Schizosaccharomyces pombe: one gene and its partners. Changing the gene in region 3 together with the main gene of any one other region gives a genetic interaction. Each region holds a gene or a part of one and is shown on either strand. Other genes may lie near its edges. The genes, in order: ptc3, ptc1, pck2 and its3.

Region 1 (4,535 bases), on a different chromosome or scaffold from region 3:
CGAAAAGCGTATTTACATTCCCCTGCCTAATGCTCATGCCCGCGCTCGGATGTTCGAGCTTAATGTCGGTAAAATACCTTCGGAACTGACCTCACAAGATTTCAAAGAACTTGCTAAAATGACCGATGGCTACTCGGGTTCAGATATTTCTATTGTTGTTCGTGATGCAATAATGGAGCCTGTAAGACGAATTCACACAGCTACCCATTTCAAAGAGGTATATGATAACAAGTCTAATAGGACCCTTGTAACTCCTTGTTCTCCTGGTGATCCTGATGCATTTGAATCTAGTTGGCTAGAGGTGAATCCTGAAGACATTATGGAACCAAAACTTACTGTTCGAGATTTCTACAGTGCAGTTCGTAAAGTCAAGCCTACGCTTAATGCTGGTGATATAGAAAAGCACACACAATTTACAAAGGACTTTGGAGCAGAGGGATAGTAATATGATAAAGGAGCTATTTTCGCTTAGTTTAATGATACCATTATTGTAAAGAAGTATAATATCATGACTACACTCACAAATGTTGAATCACTTTAGTAAATTATGGAACTAGTAGAATATTGAAGGGAATGTATATTGCTTCGACAATATCTATTAGGGCAATCGGAAATTAGTCTGGGTATGTTTACTCATGCCAGAGAAATATTTTCCATAATCTTAACTGATTTTGAATCAGGATTATAAAAGACAGTATTCGACAAAATTGATATAGAAATCGCATGCTATCAAAAAGTGCAAAGTAGCAACGTACCAAAAACCTTTTCATTCTCGGAGGTAATCGGTATACGTCGCAGGCACGTATTATACGAACAACAAAAGAAAAGCATGAAAAAATGTTGAAACAAAACCGCCTAGCGTGACTTTTATAATAAGTCAACAAATAATGCTAATTACGAGGAATATTCCTAAAAGCAAGTTACATTGTGTAATATGCGTGAAGTAGGGAATAATCAATCTGCTGCAGACACAGCCTCCTTATGATCATCCGCAACATCTTTGTTAGAATTTACGATATCGGTTTCACTTGAAGAATTTTCCTCCTCGGCTTTATGAGGGAAAAAGTGTTCTTTCCATCTGAACCCAGCTGCAAGGGATCCGTTGGTGGAATCATCTTCCTTAGAATTTTCATTCGCATCTTTGTCATATCCATCAGATCCATTTAACTTTACTTGATGAAAATTAGGTGGGACAATAACTTTCTTATTGTTATCGCCACTACGCCATCCTGGGCCATGATTTTCGGCATACTCAGGAGGAGCGCAGGGTCCGTCGTTAGCGGCAACTCTATCTGCAATCTTCTTATACCATGCTGATTTATCGTTTTCTTGCAATAAGGCAACTATACAAACAGTCATGTTGTCACAACCAAGGCCGGTAGTTTCGGTGTCACTGGCTATGCAGTTATCCATTAAATTTTCAGCAATCTTCTCAAGAGAGGTTCCAGCAACTATGCCACGTCTAACAAACTCGATCACTTGCTGCGAAGTCTTGCAATCCCAAATACCATCACAAGCGAGTACGACGAATTCATCATCGTCAGTAATCTCATGTACAACAACATCCGGTAAGGCAGTAACTATTTGTTTTTCTGGTTCTAAATTACTGTTTTTGAACTCAAAATCACCGATAGCTCTTGACAAAGCCAAATTTCCATTTACACGGCCAAAGTCTACAAAGCCACCAGCCGCACAAATACGGGCTTTTTCGGCTTCATTTGAAGGCTTATGGTCTGCTGATAGAGGTTTTGCAATTCCCTTACTGCCAAGGACAGTTCTTGAGTCACCGGCATTAGCCTACACAATTAGTAAGACTAAACAACTTCCAAGACTTACACAATAAAGTTTATTTCCAACACGAAGAACAACAGTGGCCGTGCAACCTGATGGATCCGTATGAAATTGATCATCTGTCAAAATAGTTAGCAAAATGCAATGTAGTGAAATGACAAATTTTTTTTCTGAAACCAAACTAAATGTAACAACTTTTCAACATCAAGAGGTAAACATTTCTATTATCTTGGTAACAATTTTTCTAAGCATTAACTAGACAAAAGAACAAAAAATCTATAAAAATTTCAAACACAAAATTCATCAATTTTTTGGCGACTTTAAAATGGTTATGATATCAATGAAAACAACTTTATCATTGTTAACAACAAACTTACCATCCAAAATAGCTTTATCAGCATTTAAAAATGAAGATTTCAAAGCATTAACAAAATCGCCTTTCTGAAAATCAGGATTCTTTTCAAGAATCTGAGGAAGATTGCTTCCACACCATTTCGCGACTTTGTCTCCACCGTGGCCGTCATAAACCGCAAAAAAGTCGACCGGGTCTTTTACTGCAGAGCACTCCATTGAAAGTATAGCAGAATGAGCATCTTCCATTGAGATACGCCATCCTTGCATGCTTGAAAGTCCATAAAGGACGAACTCATTGCTCCCGTTCACCGAGTGCTTCTCGGTGACTGGCTCTGATAATGTCTGACCCATTGACAGCTCTTGCTAATAGATGACACAAATTTTCACGTTTTCTTTTTGTGTCGCTTCAAAACGGGTTATGTAGTAGTGATAGGTAAATCGCTAGTAGGTGGTGGAGCTTGTCGGAGGGAGTGTTGTGGCACCCTCTACAACTACATCACCACCGTGGAGACGAACGATAGTTGTTAAAAGACTATGGAAGGTAACAAGATTAGCAGTAGTCAAGGCATATATGTAAACAACAGAATAAATGGTATCAAGGACTAAATACTTATAAATTTCAAATGTTCATTAAAAAACATGTGTAAACATAGCATATCCTATAAATTGATTTTTCAATGGTTTGCATTTTACTATGACTACAATAGAGACAAAAACAACGCTGAGTAGAATGCCCCAACAAATTCAGCAACTTGATTCAGAAAAAATTTCTATTAGGCAAAAATGATATTATTTTGATTCAATTAAAAATTCCATTGGATTTAATAAATGACCAAATAAATTCTACTTATTAGAAAGAAAATTGAAATAGAACTATTTGATAGGAGTAATAAATCTTAGCAATAGCAAGTAGGATAACAGTTTTATAACAACATCAACAATGAAGATATACATAACTTTGAAAAATAGCACAAGAAGCTAATCTTTACGTTGCTCACTTTTAGCAAGTCCTTCAGCTAAACCTGTATAGTAGCCCGCATAGTACCAGCTCATGATAAGCTTTTTGTAAGTCTCGTCTAAATCATTATGTTAATAATAGAGAGTCATAAATTTTCTTAGAAGACCTTTTACTTACCATATGTTAACCCTCTTATAGGGGGAGGAACTTCCATAAACTCTTGATGTGTCTCTGCTGCCCTTGTTTCAGGCTTTTCGTCGCTAAGGCCTTTATTATCTGCAAACTGTTGGATATGTGTATCTCCTTCCAATGTCGTCTCTGTTTGCTGATTTATCATCTGCTCACCTTCTTCTAGCTTACTTATTGATTCTTCTGTCCGTGCAGCTGAAATTAATTTTTCACCATCTAGCCTAGAATCCGGGTCCGATACTCCTCCCTTTGCTTCAATACTATGATACTTTTTGAATTCATGTAAAGCGGTTTCAAAGGCATTTCTGAGCTCTGAATCATCCCACACTTCTTTTTGGCTCTGGTCCATTTTTGGTACAAGTTGTAGATAATCTATTCCTGTATGTCTTTCTTTGTACCTTAAGAAAGCTTTATTAACAAGTAGTTTCCAACTTTGTTAACTCTTATATTAATTGAATATTATTAAAGTGAAAATATTGTTTATAAAGCACAACGCGTATAACGATAAACAGTTTGAGCTCGGCGATTCCGCTTACTACAACAATTATAATCTGCTGTGGTAACTTAGCTCCTTGCCTTAACTATCAGCCGCCTTAGTGGACAGGACTACAAGAATTCGAGGTCAAAGATATAACGAGGTTCGCACATGGCGATGTGAACTCGTGGAAGTATTGTGAAAGAATGTTTATTCCAATTCATCTTTGTTTACGATTTTGGCTTTATTATACCAAAAAGAAAAAGGAATTGTATAAGCTACAAAAATCAACCTAAATCAGTTATCTAATATCCACACGAATAATTCATTAAATGCTACATGCGCTAATATGGTTTAGCGAGGACTTCTCAGTAAGTTAGCTTTCTGGGATAGATTTTAAACTACCTAATTGAATTTAAGGTAGCTCCACGTAATTACGTTACATATTTTTATGCATCGTCATCTTAATTTACGTTAAGTACATATCGCATTCTGAAAGACCATGCGAATGGGTATTGGATGAGTATCGTTCTACTATCCCTCCTCTACATACATTCATATTTTAAAGATTTTCGTTCATGAAAAACTATCATAACATATTTCAATAGTGTATCTTTTGATAATTTCCTTTTTCCGTTACTTTTTACATGCATATAATACTTGGATAGATCAGATTTTTCTTGTTCTCGATTTTCTGAAACGATCGTTCATTCATTCCTCGATAATTTGACGAAAGGACCCTTAAGTTTGCTACTTTGCAATAATGGC
Region 2 (4,426 bases), on a different chromosome or scaffold from region 3:
TGCAGGATCGGCTTCTTTGTTTCCTAACCAGCAAATGGGAATTGACTTGCAAGCACAAGAAAACTACAGTGCTGCGTTCGGTAATGATGGCAGCTTTGCTTCGCATTTAACTAATACGTTTGACAACGCTCTAAATCTTCCTACAGACATTCCAACCACTGAAAGCATAAATGACTTGTTTGGTGAGAACTTTGACTTCACCATGACAAAATGAGTTGAGTTGACTTCAGTTCAGCTATGTATGATCGGTTTAACGTGGTTGTTTCAATTTGTCAATGTTTTTTTCATGTATTATTATCTATTACTATAGTCATTCATTTCCAGATCATTCAACAAAAAACCTATAAACGGTAATTATAAAAAACAATTGCATGTCTTTATCCGGTGAGTATCATTTGATTGTATTGCTCTGCACCTTTATGTATGAAAACTAGAGTTGAGACAGTAAGTAGAAAAGCGTTGTCTTTTTCCTATGTTTAGGCCAATGCTAAAATCTCGAATACTTGGTACAATTAGTGTATGTATATATATTTTTACGTGCAAATGGTATTTTAGCAGGAACGGGACAAAATAAAGACAACCCGTAACTTCAGAATAATAATTATAATTCGACTTTTAAATCGAAAATTAAAGACGATAAAAGGGTAAAATAAATTTTTTTTGGTGAACGTATAGCCTTTGTTATAAACACCAATGCATGCACGCAAGTACATTCATAATATTTGCGAAGCAATTGTAAATAAAAATACCGAAAACACTCACGAAGAACCTTAAAAAGAGTGAAATGTTTGTACCTTTAAATGGGTATGAAGAGGGCTAATGATGAATATACGATTGATTCGAACAGTGGCACGCAGATTGGAGGAAAAGGTAGCAAATCATGAAAAAAGAAAAAAGAAACTAGATTTGGACAGATTTAGGATCGATATTTAGACACATTACTTTTAGACAAAAAAGAAGAACAAGAGAAACATGCACAAAGTGGTTTATAAAAAGAAGAGTAATTAATTAGAAAAAATAAGTCGACCCAAAGGAAAACCATGTCCAAATGAGAATACAAGGTCCATAAATAAAGGAAAAGAATCGATGCAATTACAGTGCTTGGTAAACAAAAAAATAGGATTAAGTCATTCCGGCTTCCAAACAAGTACTGTGGATGAGGTAAAGACATCGAAAAACCGTTACGAAACAACAGAAAGCACATCATTGAATCCATCAAATACCTAATAATAGTCATTACTGTATGAATCATTATCAGCGGTAAGTCCTGAATCATCGAGATCACCGGGATTGCGAGTCAAGTTAACTACAATACAAGTGATATTGTCTGTACTAAGACGTTTTAATGCAAATTCTACCAGGCGAACAGCGGCTTCGCGAGGGCTTACGAAATTGCGAACAAAGTCGACAGCTTCCTGATCCGATACTACATCCCACAAGCCATCACAAGCGATAATGAAGAACTCATCATGACCGTTCCAGATTCGGGTTTCAGTGGTGAAGGGATGCGCACTGACCAATTCCTTAAGATAGGTATCACCTAAGGCCCTTGTGACAGCAAGAACGCCATTAATTCGGTTTTGTACCATGAGACCACCCAACTGGGTCACACGACGAGACTCATTGGCATCGGATCCCTTGTGATCGTAAGAAAGTCGAATAGCCTTACCATCACGGCATAATACGATACGTGCATCACCTGCATTAGCTGTGTAGAGAACACGGCGGGTGCGGTTTTTCTCATATCTAAAGAAAGCAACTGCAGCGGTACAACCGCAAATGTCATTGTGAGTAGCCTTTGCAATTTTGCTGTTGACCTCGACAAATGTTTCGTCCATTAGGTCTGTGACCAGCCGGTCCGGCTCATTCCTAACCTTTTCCAAAAGTACCTTGTGAAGATTCTTCTGACAGTAGTCAGATGCTTGAATGCCAGCATGTCCGTCATAAACGGCAACGAAGCCGTCGTCCTGATTACCCCCAAAATCATACAAGCAAATATGAGTATCCTCCATAGACCTACGCCATCTTTGGTTTTTATCCTCCATCAGTCCAGCAAGCCAGTTAGAGGCTTTACTAGGGCGCGAGTTACCAACTGGGACTGTGTTGCCTTTACTATCCTTCATCTCAATTGCAATCGGTCGAGTTTCTCCATCCGCCGAATGATCACTAGCGTTTTTTCGATGTCCACTTGTAGAATTTTCAGAAAATGGGTTCAACTTGTGAAGTGGTTCCAACAGGGAACCTGCATTTGGATGGCTTCCCTTCATATTCGTTCAAACACTTCAGTACCGACAAAAAAATTGCTTTTCAAATTAACTAAATACCTTCAATTATAATATCAGGTATAAAATTGCTGATTGTATAGTATATACGAGAAACACCGATTTTCCTTGGGTTTCTGCGTAAGTATAAACTTGTTAAGTCAGTCAGTGCTAATAAACTCGGGCATTTACGTCACGCGTGGTATACCGAGATCTTCGGAAATCATTTTTACGTACTAGGTTAACTTCCACTAAACCGTTATCCGCTCTGCATTGAACTACATTATAATACAAAAATGCTAACAAAAGGCTATTAGAAAATTAGAAATAGTAAGCAGCAATAAGCTGTTGTTTTGAATATATGAACTAAACGTTTGATTTATTCTAGACAAAAATATTGAACCATGTATTGAAATCCTTCGACTTTTACACTTGCTTTCGCGTGACTTTGGTTCGCATTACTGAAAAAAATTTGTCATGTGTTCGTCTAGTGAATTTGCTAAATATCAATTATCCGGTCTACCCATAATAATCAATTAGAAACGTTTCGCAACATAAACATGCTAACAAGAATAACAGTGTTCATATAAATAATTAAAAGTAACTTTTTCCGTATGTAAAATAAGGATGTGGCTTTGTCCATATCGGCTTTCATAATACAATTAATGAAATTATAATTTGTTTGTATAAGCAAAACAGACAGAACTATCACGAAGTATCCAAAATTTCCATAAACCGAGCCTCAAAGATGAAGTCGAAGAACATTTGAGAAGATTAAAAGAAATAGTGTCCAACTTCTATTTTGCGACAAGATTTATAGAATGCTTGTCGCATGCTCTTGGCTATGCCGCCAACAATAAGCAACGACTTGAAATATTTTAATAATCAAGGGGGAGGTAATAACGGCTCATGGTATGAAAGAAAATAAAATAAATTGCTTTAGAAATAAAAAGAACGAAGGACGGATTTGAGGGGACATGCCTTGGGAGTTCTTACGCAGTAAGGACTTTAACAGCAACAATCATTTTTTTGCGGTTAAGAAAACGAATTAAGGATGTCATTATCAAAATAAAAATCATAAAAAAGCAAGAAGACTCGAATAATGAAAGATGTCAATTTTGATCACACATGACTTCTTGATAAAACAAAAAATTAAAGAACAAGGGTAATGTGTGAAGCAAAGGTACGCCTTTATCGCTCTTTCAACAAGTGTTTTCAACGGATAAATGCCTGTCAGCAGGGACCATGGGCGGACTACTTGGCATCACCAAATCTGTCATCAGAGGAATATCGCGTCTTTCTTCATTATCGAGTTGAGAATTCAACCCCAATTCTAAAGAAAAATCATATCTTTCTGGTAATTGAGGTGAATTCTCAATGTTATTGGATTTTGCAACCGAAGACAATGCCTTTGATAAATCAAACTTTGGCTTATGCCTTGGTGTCAATACGTTTTGGTCAGGGTCAGACAAAAATAACTCTGACCTCCAGGGTGATGGACTTTGTTGTTGCTTTTGTAAGGTAGTTGGTTTTGGAGGGGTTCTGAAATAGCACTCTAAATCATCATTTTCTTTTTCTGAATCGCAAACAGGCAGAGTTGGCTCTGTCTCTTCTTTATTTACTTTAGGCATAGGCTTTGTTGTGGTTTTCAAAGGAAAAGCGACGTTTTCCTTGTCAGTACACATGAAATCAGTTTTTCTTAAAACATCATTTTGTATATTGGCACTTAGTGAATTTGGTAATACCAGCCAACTATCATTAGACCCAATTTCGGATAAAGGCTCACGAAATGATGTATCAGGAGTAGGTGCAACAATGGGAGATGATTGTATGCGTCTGAGGTCATTTTTCAGCTTAGCAGTACGGGGACCTCCTCTGGATTTCTGCTGATTAACAACAGAGGGTTTTGAGATATGATTGGGATCAGGTGCAGAGTGTGTTGAGTCTAAAGACGTAAGTCTATTCAGAGGAGAGTGCCGTCCTGCATTTTCAAGCTCACGGAAGATGGATATAGATAGTTTTCGTTGCTGGGAAAGTTTATATACGGCTAACTCAAGCTGAGCAAATGCATCATTTTCCAACGGTTTCTCTGTTTCAAATGCTTTATAGGTAGACCATAAATTTCTTGGACGCATCGAGCGCCGACTCGTCCAATATATACCACA
Region 3 (6,414 bases):
CTTGAAAAGATCCGTGAACGAGAAGTTATGATTACGCTGGAACGCGTCAAAAAAATTCTCAATGCGGGTGCCAATGTTATTCTTACCACAAAGGGCATTGATGATCTCTGTTTGAAATCCATTATTGAAGCTGGCGCAATGGCTGTTCGTAGATGCAAAAAGGAAGATTTGAGACGTATCGCCAAGGCTTCCGGTGCTACCTTACTCAGTTCATTGTCAAATTTAGAGGGTGAAGAAACCTTTGAAAGTTCCTACTTGGGCTCGGCTGAAGAGGTTGTTCAAGAAAAATTTTCGGATGATGAATGTATTCTTGTCAAAGGAACCAAAGCTTATTCGTCTGCATCAATTGTTCTGCGAGGCCCCAATGAATACTCTTTAGATGAAATGGAGCGTTCAATGCATGATTCTTTAAGCGTCGTCAAACGCACTCTTGAGAGCGGCAAAGTCGTTCCTGGTGGCGGCGCTGTGGAAACAGCTCTGAGCATTTACTTGGAAAATTTTGCTACCTCTTTGGGCTCTCGTGAGCAACTTGCAATTGCTGAGTTTGCACAAGCTTTGTTAATTATTCCCAGAACTTTGGCCGTCAATGCCGCCAAAGACTCTACTGAACTGACAGCTAAGTTGCGTGCTTATCACGCAGCCAGTCAAAATGCTGAGGTTACAGATGTTAAGAAACGGGGATACAAAAATTATGGTCTTGATTTACTTAATGGCGTAATTCGTGATAATGTTAAGGCTGGTGTTCTTGAGCCATCCATGTCTAAGTTGAAAAGTTTGAAGAGCGCCGTTGAGGCATGCATTGCTATTTTACGTATCGATACTAGTATCAAACTTGATCCCGAAAGACAACCAGAAGACCCACATGCAGGGTTGCACTAAAGCAATTACTTAAGCATAGGTATATTTGGCGGGTTTCATTGAATGTATCCAAAAATTTTGCTCCATAGATACAAATGCGATGGATATTAACATATATTAGCACTATAGCTGTTGACCAATAAACGGTAAATTATTAAACTCAGTAAATTACTACTTTGCTAGTGCTTTCATAAACAAAAGTCTAATGCCACTGTATGGATTATTAATGTGCATGCTTATAATATCATAGATACAACCCAGGTAGTAAAGAAATCCAAAAATGTTTAGTTTAAAAAGTCGAAATTAGAATAATTTATCAATGCAATGAAAGATTAAGAAAATGAGAGTAACTTTATGCTCAATTTAAGGTGCTAAGCATTATCGGTAGTCGAGGGTTTATCATCCTCGCATGAATAAGAAAAACCTTCAAAATGTTGCTGCATCTCTTTCGTCAGAATAGAATTAACAGGAGTAAGAACTGGGAGTTCTCGGGTAAATTCCTCATCGAAATACTTGGTGTCCGTAGGTGAATTCAAACTTGGAATGTACGGTGGTTGAGTTCGCTTATGATAGATGTCATCCCAATTAATGTTACTAAAAAATGGATGAGTCATGACATCTTCTGCATCGTTAGGGCCAGATCCAAGTCGTTTTTTAGGATCGCGAGTCAAAAGTTGTTGTAATATAGAAACGGAATCCCTTGGCATATGAATAGGATACAAAGGTTCATCAGATAAAATTGCATCAAAAATTTCTTCTTCGTCTTCTCCTCTAAATGGAGATTGACCAAGCAGCATTTGGTAAATTAGTACACCAAAAGCCCACCAGTCAACGCTTCTCGTATATTGCTGTTCTAATAAGATTTCCGGTGCCATAAATTCAGGAGTACCGCAAAACGTGGCAGTAGTGTTATCATGCCACATGTCTTCCTTACACAAACCATAATCGGCCACTTTAACATGACCATCTGGGCTTAAAAGGATATTATCAAGCTTAAGATCACGGTATATGATACCGTTATCATGAAAGTATTTTAGAGCAAGACACACCTCAGCAGCATAAAACTGTGCCCTTCTACGTGAAAATTGTTCCTGTTGAATGTGAAGCATCAAATCACCACCACTCACAAAATCCATGACAAAGTAAATACGGGTTTCGGTTTGAAAGCAAGAATGCAGGTTTACCAAAAATGGATGACGCTCTCGGTTGGCAACGAGAAAAACGCGTTTTTCGGATTTAGTGCTTTCGACTTCATCGTTTTCTAAGATGAATTCCTTTTTCAAAACTTTAATAGCATACAATTGCTTTTCACTTTTAAGCTCAGCCAGCATTACTTTACCGAAATTTCCTTTGCCTAGCACAGATAAGAAAGTAAAGTCTTCAAGTCCGATACGCTTAGCTTTATGCGTTAGGTCTTGAGCAACAACAGAGGTTTCAACTGATGGTACTGGGATTGGCTCTTTCACAGCATCTAGGGAAGGAGGTTTCGTCAACGCATCAGCTTTGTCATCCACTTTCTGCTCGACAACCTGAACTGTAGCGCCAAGTTTATTATCAGAGACTGATGTCACTTCTAAATTACCGGCATGTACAGGCTTTCTTTTAACCGGTTCAATTGCCAGTGGTTTTGGAGAAGTTGGAACAGGGTCTGCAGGAGTGATAGATGGTGTTGTGGTGGTTGTAATAGAAACGGATGCTTTGTCATTTTCCTTATGTTTCGAAGATGAAGACTTAGACTTTTTATGATGATGATGCTTGTGATGTGAACTTTTCTGTTTATGTTGTTGAGCTTTATAAATTTTAGTTGTACGAATCTCAGAAATAACCCGGTTAGCCATCTCCATAGACATACCACAGAAATCCGGAACAAGATGAACACACTGAGCGTGCGCAGTTATTCCACACTCCGTACATTTCCTGGCAGTTTTTCTTCCTAAAGGAAGGATGTAGCCACAGTGACAGCACCAATTAGCACCTATGTTTGTGTGAGATTCAAAATGATGAGGAATTCTATGGTTGATTTTCTCGTATTCGCTAGAAGCAGAATCGCTAGACTTTGAAATGCATTTAGTAACTACCTTTGGATAGCATTTTTTATGACAGGTGTAATGACAATCAATGCACTGCATACCAGCAGCATTCTTCAAAAACTCTCCACATAAAGCACAACGCATAATTTGATAAAATTGATGTTGTAGAAATTTGTGACCATAAACTTCGTGTACGCTTTCCTTGCGTTGACGGATAGCACCTTGACGACCGAGGCCAGCATCCATAGGTCTCTTCCTTGTATTATGCTTTGTGAAATTCATGGTCAAATTAATTTGTCCCATGGGTTCAAGAGAAAACCAAGCACTCACACTTTGATTACCGCTAGCTGTGTTGGGGCGGTCAGTACTTTCAGGCTTTGAAATATTATTAAGAGCAGAAGGTAAAAATATTGAAAGTCTTTGATTAATCATTTTGTCGGCACTAACCCAACCTTTATCTGAAACCTCTTGTTCAACCTTTTTTCGCCTTTGTTTTTCTACTAAATCCGATAACCGTATCCAAAGTAAACCAACAGGTAATAGCAATTTTTCATTTTTCTTTTCGTAAACAACTATTTCGACCTCATTAGTCTTCTCCAGATCAATTTCAAAAGTTTCATTAAAACGGTCGGTGCGGCTTGGACGAGTACGTGCACGCTCAAGATCCTCTGCACGAATTGCAACTATCATTTCCGTTTGCTTGGAGATTCCAGCAGAATGCGTGACGTTCCTTAGAGATCCTACGGTAATTTTAAGGAGACCAGACTGGGGACGACGGGCATTTAAGTTACCTCTACTTTCCGTACTGGGAACATCTTCCTCATCGATTTCGATATGCAAGTCATGGTATCGCTTCAAAGCTTGCTTGAGTAAGGTAATCTTTTGAGCACTTTCTACATACTTCTTCTCTGCTTCAGCTATACTACGACGGTCATGTTCACGCTCATAGAGCTTTGCCATCTTTTCAATACCTTTTCGATATTGTTCCTCAACAGATAATTTGAACTCCAATTGTTGTAATAAGAATGATATCTTTGAAATAGTAAGAGGGGTATCATAATTTAGCAAATCCAAGTTAGAATCGATATTAGAAGAAGTAGAGGAAAAGCTTTTAGCGGATTTTGTAGTGCTAAAGGATGGATTCTTCTCAATGCCAACGGACGGTTTCTCAGAATTACTCTTTCGGACACCATTTTTGCGAAGCTTTAGTTTTTCTAAGCGTTCTTCTAAATAAATAATGCTCTTTTTTGATTCTTCAATATTGCTATGAAGTTGTTGGTGAACTGTCTGATTCTGAGTCAAGCGCTTCATGGAAAGGGCGCCATGAATAACTGATCTTTCTCTTTCAATTTTCCTAACAACTTCTGTTATAGCCTCATCAATCATATCCATTACTTTAAATGGCCTAATCCTGATTTTTCCGCTTAACTTCTTATCTGCAATTTTTCGCTTCCGTTTTTAATATTAATGTGATTATAAGATTTCATTAAGACTTTTAAGCTCGATAAAATGCTAGTAAACACCCGCTTTAGTCCTTTCGATGTTTTCGTACGTTTAGTAGTTGGAAGGCGGTAGCTATGAAGTAAGACTGGCAAGCTCGCAGGGATTTCGCAAGCAATTCAAAGAATCCCACCACTCCATTCCTTTTTCAAAATTTATTGAAATATATGGGCAAATTTTTCAGCGACCCCTGTTATAATTTCGAAGGATTTTGGCACGTTAATCTTGAAAATAACGATTTTACAGAACTTTACCCCATAAATATTTTTGTCACATGTCCAATTTTATTTGATTGATGCTAAAATTGTAATAACGCAAAATAAAAAAATATTGACCAATTAATAGAACAGTTCATTATCCAGCTATCTTATTTGTCTTTTGTTAGTTTTACGGAATCCCGTCAATAATCGCGGGTACGTTATTGTAATCCATGTAATTACTATGTTTGCTGATATTCTTTTAGTTTGCATATCTTTGGTTTAATAACTTTATAATTTATTTATTTTCTCGCTTCATTCAGAAAAGATAGAATTCTCGAATTTGAACGAACATATTAAGAAATTTTTGAATATAGTAATCATCGTATCGTTCATGTCTGATGGAAAACGACACAGGATGGTCTGTGAAAAGTATGTTATTAGTATGATTATTTGGGTCTTTTGCTTGCTAAACTATTAGAATGTATTGATATATTTGGAGAATTTTGTATGTGTGCAACTTTGAACTTCCATTTTTGCTTACAATTCAGTGCTTGTAAGCATTCATTGTATTCTTTACGCTAGAAGACTCTATCCTCAAGGTATTCGATTTTTTAGCTTTTGATTTAACTCTCATATTAGACCTTTTTATAAAAGCTCGAAAATACAATACAATTGTCTGGCAATCAAGGCATCCGATCTTGTGCGAATATATTGAAGAAGTAGTGCAATCTTGTATCGAGGAGCTTCAGACGGTATTCTTAGTCATCCAATTCTTTTTCTAACTGCTCGTCTAGGGATCAGTACATCAAGTTGCACTCTCTATTATTAACAAAGAGCAGCGAGAAGAGGAACGATATGTCTTTTCAACGGATTCTATCCCGATTATTCCTGATTTCTTACTTGAGAAACAGTATGACTATCATTAGCTTGGCATAGGCATCTTTTAACAATATTGTAGAATTTCAACAAATGAGCCATTCACAGATGCTTACGTTGAATACATGAGAGCTTCGCTCATCCAATTACTCAATATAACAAATGGACTTCCTCTTATTGAACAAGGTATAAACAGTATTATTTTCTAAAAAAATATTCTATTACTAAATTCAATTCTAATAATACTGAAATTAGAATGCACTTGGACGCTTCGGGTAACGCTAAAAGATGGTTTTCCCAGACCAAAACAATGGGAAGAGTGGTTTCTTCCGCCGCAAGCGAGAGAAACAGACGCAACAAGGCAATTTAAGGGCATCACCATTCCTGTTCGAAATGTGGATATTGGACCAATGATGACGGAAATTTGGGTCGAGAAATATACAAATTCGGATTAGAGGTATCTCTAATTTTCTTTTCAGAATGTAGTGCAAGAAAAATGGGTATCTGCTATGAAATAAGAGGGGATTAGGTAAAGTAAATAAAGAATCAGTTTTGCGATAAAGGATTATCATTATCAATGAAAGAATTATTAATTTTGAAGTAAAGGTCCCTACCAATAAGAATTATAAATAGTTAGAAAATGTGCCTTACTCTAGGCCCAACCATTTTTTGCAATTCTCATATACCAGATATGAAATAGCGACACTAGGTGCTACCTTCAACAAATTAGGAGACAATCCTTTATAAAGCCCACGGAAACCTTCATTTTTTGTAGTTTTGTAAAAGCAGTCTATAAATCCATCGTATGTTGCAGGATGTGCAGACGTACCTTGCGTTTGTAAACGAGTACGTATGACATTAAGTGGAAACACTATGGTAGCGCCAGTGCTTCCAGAAAGTGCTCCAAATGCCATCACTAAACCATTAGGAAGTTTCACATCTTGTGGATC
Region 4 (5,119 bases), on a different chromosome or scaffold from region 3:
TCTAAAGCATTGCTAATAAGAGAATATTCCCAAAGAATTTGTTGACTATCCGGCTGAGTTTGGGTAATCGGAAGGTTTTGAAATGAAGAAGGGTCAAGCGAAAGATTGAAGCAATACTCAATGAATGCGATATCCATGAATATCGGCATTTTTTCATGACACATTGATTTCGAATAACCCAAATATCGTAAGCAGGCTAATTGGTTAATGATTTTCAAGATTGGCTTTCATACCGTTCACAATGGAAGATTCTTCTCTCTGCATATCATAATGATTTTCCTTGATGAAAAACGTTTCTAGTGTATTCAGCACAGATTGTGAACGAATCTTCTCATTCATTTTATGGAAAAAACTAATCTATACACGAAGGATAAAAGTATAAAAAGTTGGTAAAGTCAATGTAAGTTGGTCTACGAGATAAAATGAATACCATTCCGTAAGAGAAAATAAATCATTTAATAAAGAAATCTAAAAACGAATGGATCGAATAGCTTTGTCTACTGTTATGTTTCTTGGAACATCGTACAGAAGACGAATTTAACTCCTTAAAGAAGTGTATTTTGTTTAATGTTATAAATTATTCCCTTAAACAGTGAACTGCTTTATCCAAAAAAGCGGTAAGCAAAATTTCCAAATGAAAAAAGTATTTGAATGGAAGATCGACTTTGGCGTGACAAAAGAATAAATTTTACTCTCCATTTTAAGTCCTTCATTTTCATAACGCTATGCCAATTACCTTGGATCACGGTGGTGTTTGTGCCTTAAGACATGAAAAGCTTACGAAATAAACATGCTTTAGGCGATTGATCATTTCTTCCAAGATATTTTTCCTTATTCAATCTCAAAAATTACTCTAATTTGTTATTTGCTAGAACTAAATGATCCATCTGATTGAATGTTTTTACTACCCAAGCCTCTTAAGATTCTATCCGAAGTTCTTTATTTACTTGTGCACAAAACCCGAAGGAATGGGAAAAGCAATTATCTATCTAGTAAGACAAAAAACATTAGATACTGTCCTTTGATTATAATTTCAATGGATTCTTAAAGTTGAATATTCAGTGCTAGCTTCTTTATATTATAGACATTCAAAGTAAACTTGAGAACGAAGAAAAGGAATATTGGATATTTCCTTTTTCTTTTTGTTAAATATATATATATATATATATTTTTGGAAAATAAAAATAAATTGATATGTTTGAAATAAACGAAGTATACGTTATGTGTATCTTACTTTAATTTTTTTTAACTTTATTTTATTATTTATTTTTTTTTTAAGGAAATTTCAAATCTTTAGATTTTCAAAATAGCTCAATCATTTGCTGTACTTATCCATGCAAGCTTAATCATTATAAATTGATTAATAGAGGTTCTAAAAAGTAAGCCTTTATAAAATTGGATTTACAGCATCCAGCTCTTCACGCAACACACCCATATCGATGCTTTTGTTTACGTTGAGCAGATTCGTTTTGTTTACATTCAACGAAATCGACGTTGTCAACGACTTCAAACATCGCAAGCTTATGGACTATTCGCAATAATGGAACTGGGTTTCAGAAGTTTTTGGCTTGGTAAATTCGGGATTGCTCCTTTCCCATACAGAAAGCGATAATTTTATCCATTTACTGCCATTAGTGCGAATTATTGGAGAATGTGCCGGACAATTCGGTGAACTCCGGTGACTTTATATATCTAGGGAAGAAACTGGTAGAAACAACACTTCGCTGGTATCAAGTGTTTTGCGGTGAAAGAGTTGATAAAAAAGAGAATTAAGCTGCTCTTTTCGGTAAATTAAAACATTTTGAATAACTTGGGAAAAAACTTGCTTTTGTAGGAACTGAAAAACGACGAAATTGACGTCTTCAAATTGTTTGTTAAAAAACGGAATCAAAAATTGTGTTTGGAGTCCATTGGCGAGTAAATTTTTAACTCTTCATATATGTTTGTAGGAAACACTAATGAAAATTGATTCAAACGGCATAGTGAATCCGCATTCTATAACGAACGAAATCCCTTCGTATGATGAAAAGCAGGCTGTCGATTTGAATGGGAATGCTTTTGCTCCAAATGGTACGTTTCAAAAAAAGGATTTGATATCCCATAAAAACGATTTCGAACGTACGATGCGCCACGATGTTCTTCATACCAACCCCAAAATCGAAGTTCGGTCGGAGACCCATATTTATGAACCTAACGATTCATTATTTAAGGAAAATCAAGATTTCCCCTCAAATCCCACTGCCCACTCTCCTTCTTCCTCTTCTAACGATTCGGTAATTACGGCTACTGGCGTACCTGATGGTATCTTGAGAGATTCTCCCATCGTAAGTGCCCTCGAGCCTCCTTCCTCCAATTCTTCCTCTTCTCCCCAATTACAAAATTTAAAGCATCAATTATCCTCTCCTCAACCTTCTCGCGCCCCCATAGATCGCTCTTCCTCCAACCCTGTAACCTCATCTCAGCAGCCACCTAATGATCGTTCCACGCTCAGCTCCTCGCAGAAGGCGAAGCGGCCGCTAAAGCGATCTTACTCCGAAAAAAATTCTAGCAACGCTGAACCTTCTGGCTCGAGATCCGGCGACCGAGGTACCAACGTCAGTACCTCGGGTTCTCTTTTGGATGGCATTCCCCCCGATATTGGCTCTGCTAGCTGGGCTGAAGCAGTCAAACAAAAACGTGTTAACATGCGCCGTCGCAGGGAAGAACTGGACGATGAGTGCGTTCTCGTTGGAACTAGAGTTTCAGAGGGCCATGAAAACTATGTTACAGCGTACAACATGCTTACTGGAATTCGCGTCGGTGTTTCTCGTTGCCAAGCGAAAATGGACCGTGAGCTTACTCCTGCTGATTTTACTGCTCGTCACAAGTTTACCTTTGACATTACTGGCAACGAACTCACTCCCTCCGCCAAGTATGATTTTAAGTTCAAAGATTATGCACCTTGGGTATTTAGACATCTAAGGCAGCTGTTTCATTTAGATGCTGCAGATTATCTTGTATCTCTTACCAGTAAGTACATTTTGTCTGAGTTAGATTCTCCTGGGAAAAGTGGTTCTTTTTTTTATTTTTCTCGTGACTATCGATTCATTATTAAAACAATCCATCACTCTGAGCACAAATTTTTGCGTGAAATTCTTTATGATTACTACGAACACGTCAAGAATAATCCGAACACATTGATTTCGCAATTTTATGGGTTGCATAGGGTAAAATTACCCTTTGGCCGAAAAATCCATTTTGTTGTAATGAACAACCTTTTCCCACCTCATCGTGATATCCACCAAACTTTTGATCTCAAAGGATCCACCCTAGGAAGGGAACTCGACGAAAATCAACCTTGTCAAAGTCCCATGTGTACAATGAAAGATACAAATTGGATTCGCAGAAATATGCATCTTCAGTTTGGTCCTTTAAAGCGTCAGATATTCTTAACTCAGGTCAAAGCCGATATTGATATGCTGTCCTCTTTAGGAATTATGGATTACAGTTTACTTGTCGGCATCCATGACCTTTCACGTGGTAATCGTGACAAAATTCGTAATAGCATTCTGTCAGTTTACGACCCAAATGTGTCGCAACATCGAGTGCCCTCGATTAATGGCAATGAATCTCACTCAAACGTTCATGTAATCAGACAAGTCGTTAATAGCACCGGTCCTGTTTCGTTGGATCAATCTTGTAATCTATTGCCGACCGACCAGTTCGTTGAGTAAGTGCTTATTATTTTTTTAACAATTAGACTATTTTTTAACACTATTTTAGGAGAAGAAACTTCATGTTCTACAGTGATGACGGTGGATTCCAAGCCACCGATGAAAACAATGAGCCAGGAAACTTTATCTTTTATATCGGAATAATTGACTTACTTACTAAGGTATGATAAATTGCGTAAATTTTTTTATGGGAATGCAAAGTCTTTTACTTGTTTTCCTTGTTTGCTTTTATTTTCATTATACTTACCGGTGTTTAGTATTCATATGTTAAGCGCGTTGAGCATTTATGGAAGGGCATTAATCATTCAGATTCTGTCATTTCTGCTGTTCCACCTGCTGAATACGCTTCACGCTTCTACAAATTTGTAGAGTCAAGTATTAAGCCAACTCTTTTAGTTTTGAAACCATTCCCCTTAAAACCGCAGGATGGCCAGCGTGTTAACAAACAGCAAAGCGTTAATGCTGGCAATGTGCGCACTAATAACAAGCATGGTTCTCTTAATAATAATACAGCTCCTTCTTCTCGCAATGCTAAAAGCACTTCTGCTCATAAATCACCCAAAACAGAACACCGATTTCCATTCCCATGCCGCAATGTTACTACGAACACTTCTTCATCTTAATAAATTTTAATGTCTTTGAAGTGCACATATTTCAAGTTTAATGCATTTATTTATAATGCTTTACCACCTTTTTATTCTTGTATATATTGGCTAATTTATCTTTTTATTTTAGAGAAAAAACAAAGCAAAGCATGTATGCCGAAGTGCATTAACGGATGCACAACCTATAACTTATTGCTCTAATTAGCGCTTTTATTATTTACATCTCAAATAACTTATGTTCGTCAGTTCCTCACCAATCTTTGTCAAAAAGCTATATTATTATGATATAACTTAAAATTCATTAGGAAGAAAGTATGCTTTTGTAACGAGTAAACGTATGTACTTAGAAAAGAGCGATTCATAGTAGTGGAAGTAGTTCAATTACGAAGACCTCTCAACTAAACATAAATAACTAGAGCATAAATTAATTTAAAGGCTGAACTAAGATCCAGGATTGTGTGTCTCAATAAATAAATCTTTGTAAAGAACAAGATGAATCGGGCATCTTCGTTGAAATAGTTAGTTTGTCATTCAGTTAGTAAAATTTGCCAAATCAGCAAGGATATCAATAACATTTGCAGGGTCTGCGATACACCAGTCGGCGATAGAAAGCTTTTTGTCGGATCCAATGGTAACTGCAAATGAAGTTTCCTTGTTAATACGAGTGTTTTTATGCAAAGAGCGGAACATATCTTCATCAGTTCTATCATCACCTGCACAAAAGATAAAAGAAGGAAGTGAATCTTCTGGATACGAACTTAAAATCTGTTTGACAATTCCTCCTTTGTTGATACTGGAAGG

Evidence for each region.
Region 1: of pck2 (region 3) and ptc3, extra expression of one rescues a mutant of the other (dosage rescue), as found in Schizosaccharomyces pombe (one study listed by BioGRID).
Region 2: of pck2 (region 3) and ptc1, extra expression of one rescues a mutant of the other (dosage rescue), as found in Schizosaccharomyces pombe (one study listed by BioGRID).
Region 4: mutations in pck2 (region 3) and its3 are lethal when combined (synthetic lethality), as found in Schizosaccharomyces pombe (one study listed by BioGRID).

The regions. Positions count from the first base shown.
Region 1 is NC_003424.3:819,209-823,743, forward strand, and holds ptc3 (protein phosphatase PP2C catalytic subunit Ptc3), read right to left. Parts: upstream 2,577-4,535; 5' UTR 2,497-2,576; coding exon 2,169-2,496; intron 1,921-2,168; exon of another isoform or gene 1,911-1,920; coding exon 1,837-1,910; exon of another isoform or gene 1,798-1,836; coding exon 955-1,797; 3' UTR 560-954; downstream 1-559. Other genes in the region: AAA family ATPase Vps4, read left to right, coding at 1-442; smn1 (SMN complex subunit Smn1/Gem1), read right to left, coding at 3,124-3,221, 3,281-3,641; SPOM_SPAC2G11.09 (Ca(2+) transporter), read left to right, coding at 4,531-4,535. UniProt on the Schizosaccharomyces pombe protein: Dephosphorylating regulator for many key proteins. Has an important role in osmotic stability and cell shape control. It may negatively regulate the osmosensing signal transmitted through wis1 map kinase.
Region 2 is NC_003421.2:2,002,520-2,006,945, reverse strand, and holds ptc1 (serine/threonine protein phosphatase PP2C catalytic subunit Ptc1), read right to left. Parts: upstream 2,411-4,426; 5' UTR 2,268-2,410; coding exon 1,224-2,267; 3' UTR 554-1,223; downstream 1-553. Other genes in the region: SPOM_SPCC4F11.03C (uncharacterized protein), read left to right, coding at 1-214; GATA-type transcription factor Ams2, read right to left, coding at 3,464-4,426. UniProt on the Schizosaccharomyces pombe protein: Serine and threonine phosphatase. Has a specialized role in the heat shock response. May be responsible for the dephosphorylation of hsp90.
Region 3 is NC_003423.3:2,308,558-2,314,971, forward strand, and holds pck2 (protein kinase C (PKC)-like Pck2), read right to left. Parts: upstream 4,452-6,414; 5' UTR 4,281-4,451; coding exon 1,230-4,280; 3' UTR 880-1,229; downstream 1-879. Other genes in the region: chaperonin-containing T-complex alpha subunit Cct1, read left to right, coding at 1-879; DNA polymerase zeta Rev7, read left to right, coding at 4,987-5,017, 5,067-5,093, 5,137-5,187, 5,228-5,340, 5,383-5,498, 5,547-5,650, 5,720-5,919; SPOM_SPBC12D12.05C (calcium-binding subfamily carrier protein), read right to left, coding at 6,112-6,414. UniProt on the Schizosaccharomyces pombe protein: Involved in the control of the cell shape. Target of the inhibitor staurosporine.
Region 4 is NC_003424.3:4,070,418-4,075,536, forward strand, and holds its3 (1-phosphatidylinositol-4-phosphate 5-kinase Its3), read left to right. Parts: upstream 1-1,718; 5' UTR 1,719-1,958; coding exon 1,959-3,709; exon of another isoform or gene 3,710-3,762; coding exon 3,763-3,874; exon of another isoform or gene 3,875-3,877; intron 3,878-3,970; coding exon 3,971-4,336; 3' UTR 4,337-4,619; downstream 4,620-5,119. Other genes in the region: protein Poz1, read right to left, coding at 1-196, 234-339; trehalose-6-phosphate phosphatase Tpp1, read right to left, coding at 4,850-5,119. UniProt on the Schizosaccharomyces pombe protein: Catalyzes the phosphorylation of phosphatidylinositol 4-phosphate on the fifth hydroxyl of the myo-inositol ring, to form phosphatidylinositol 4,5-bisphosphate. Involved, together with the calcineurin ppb1, in cytokinesis.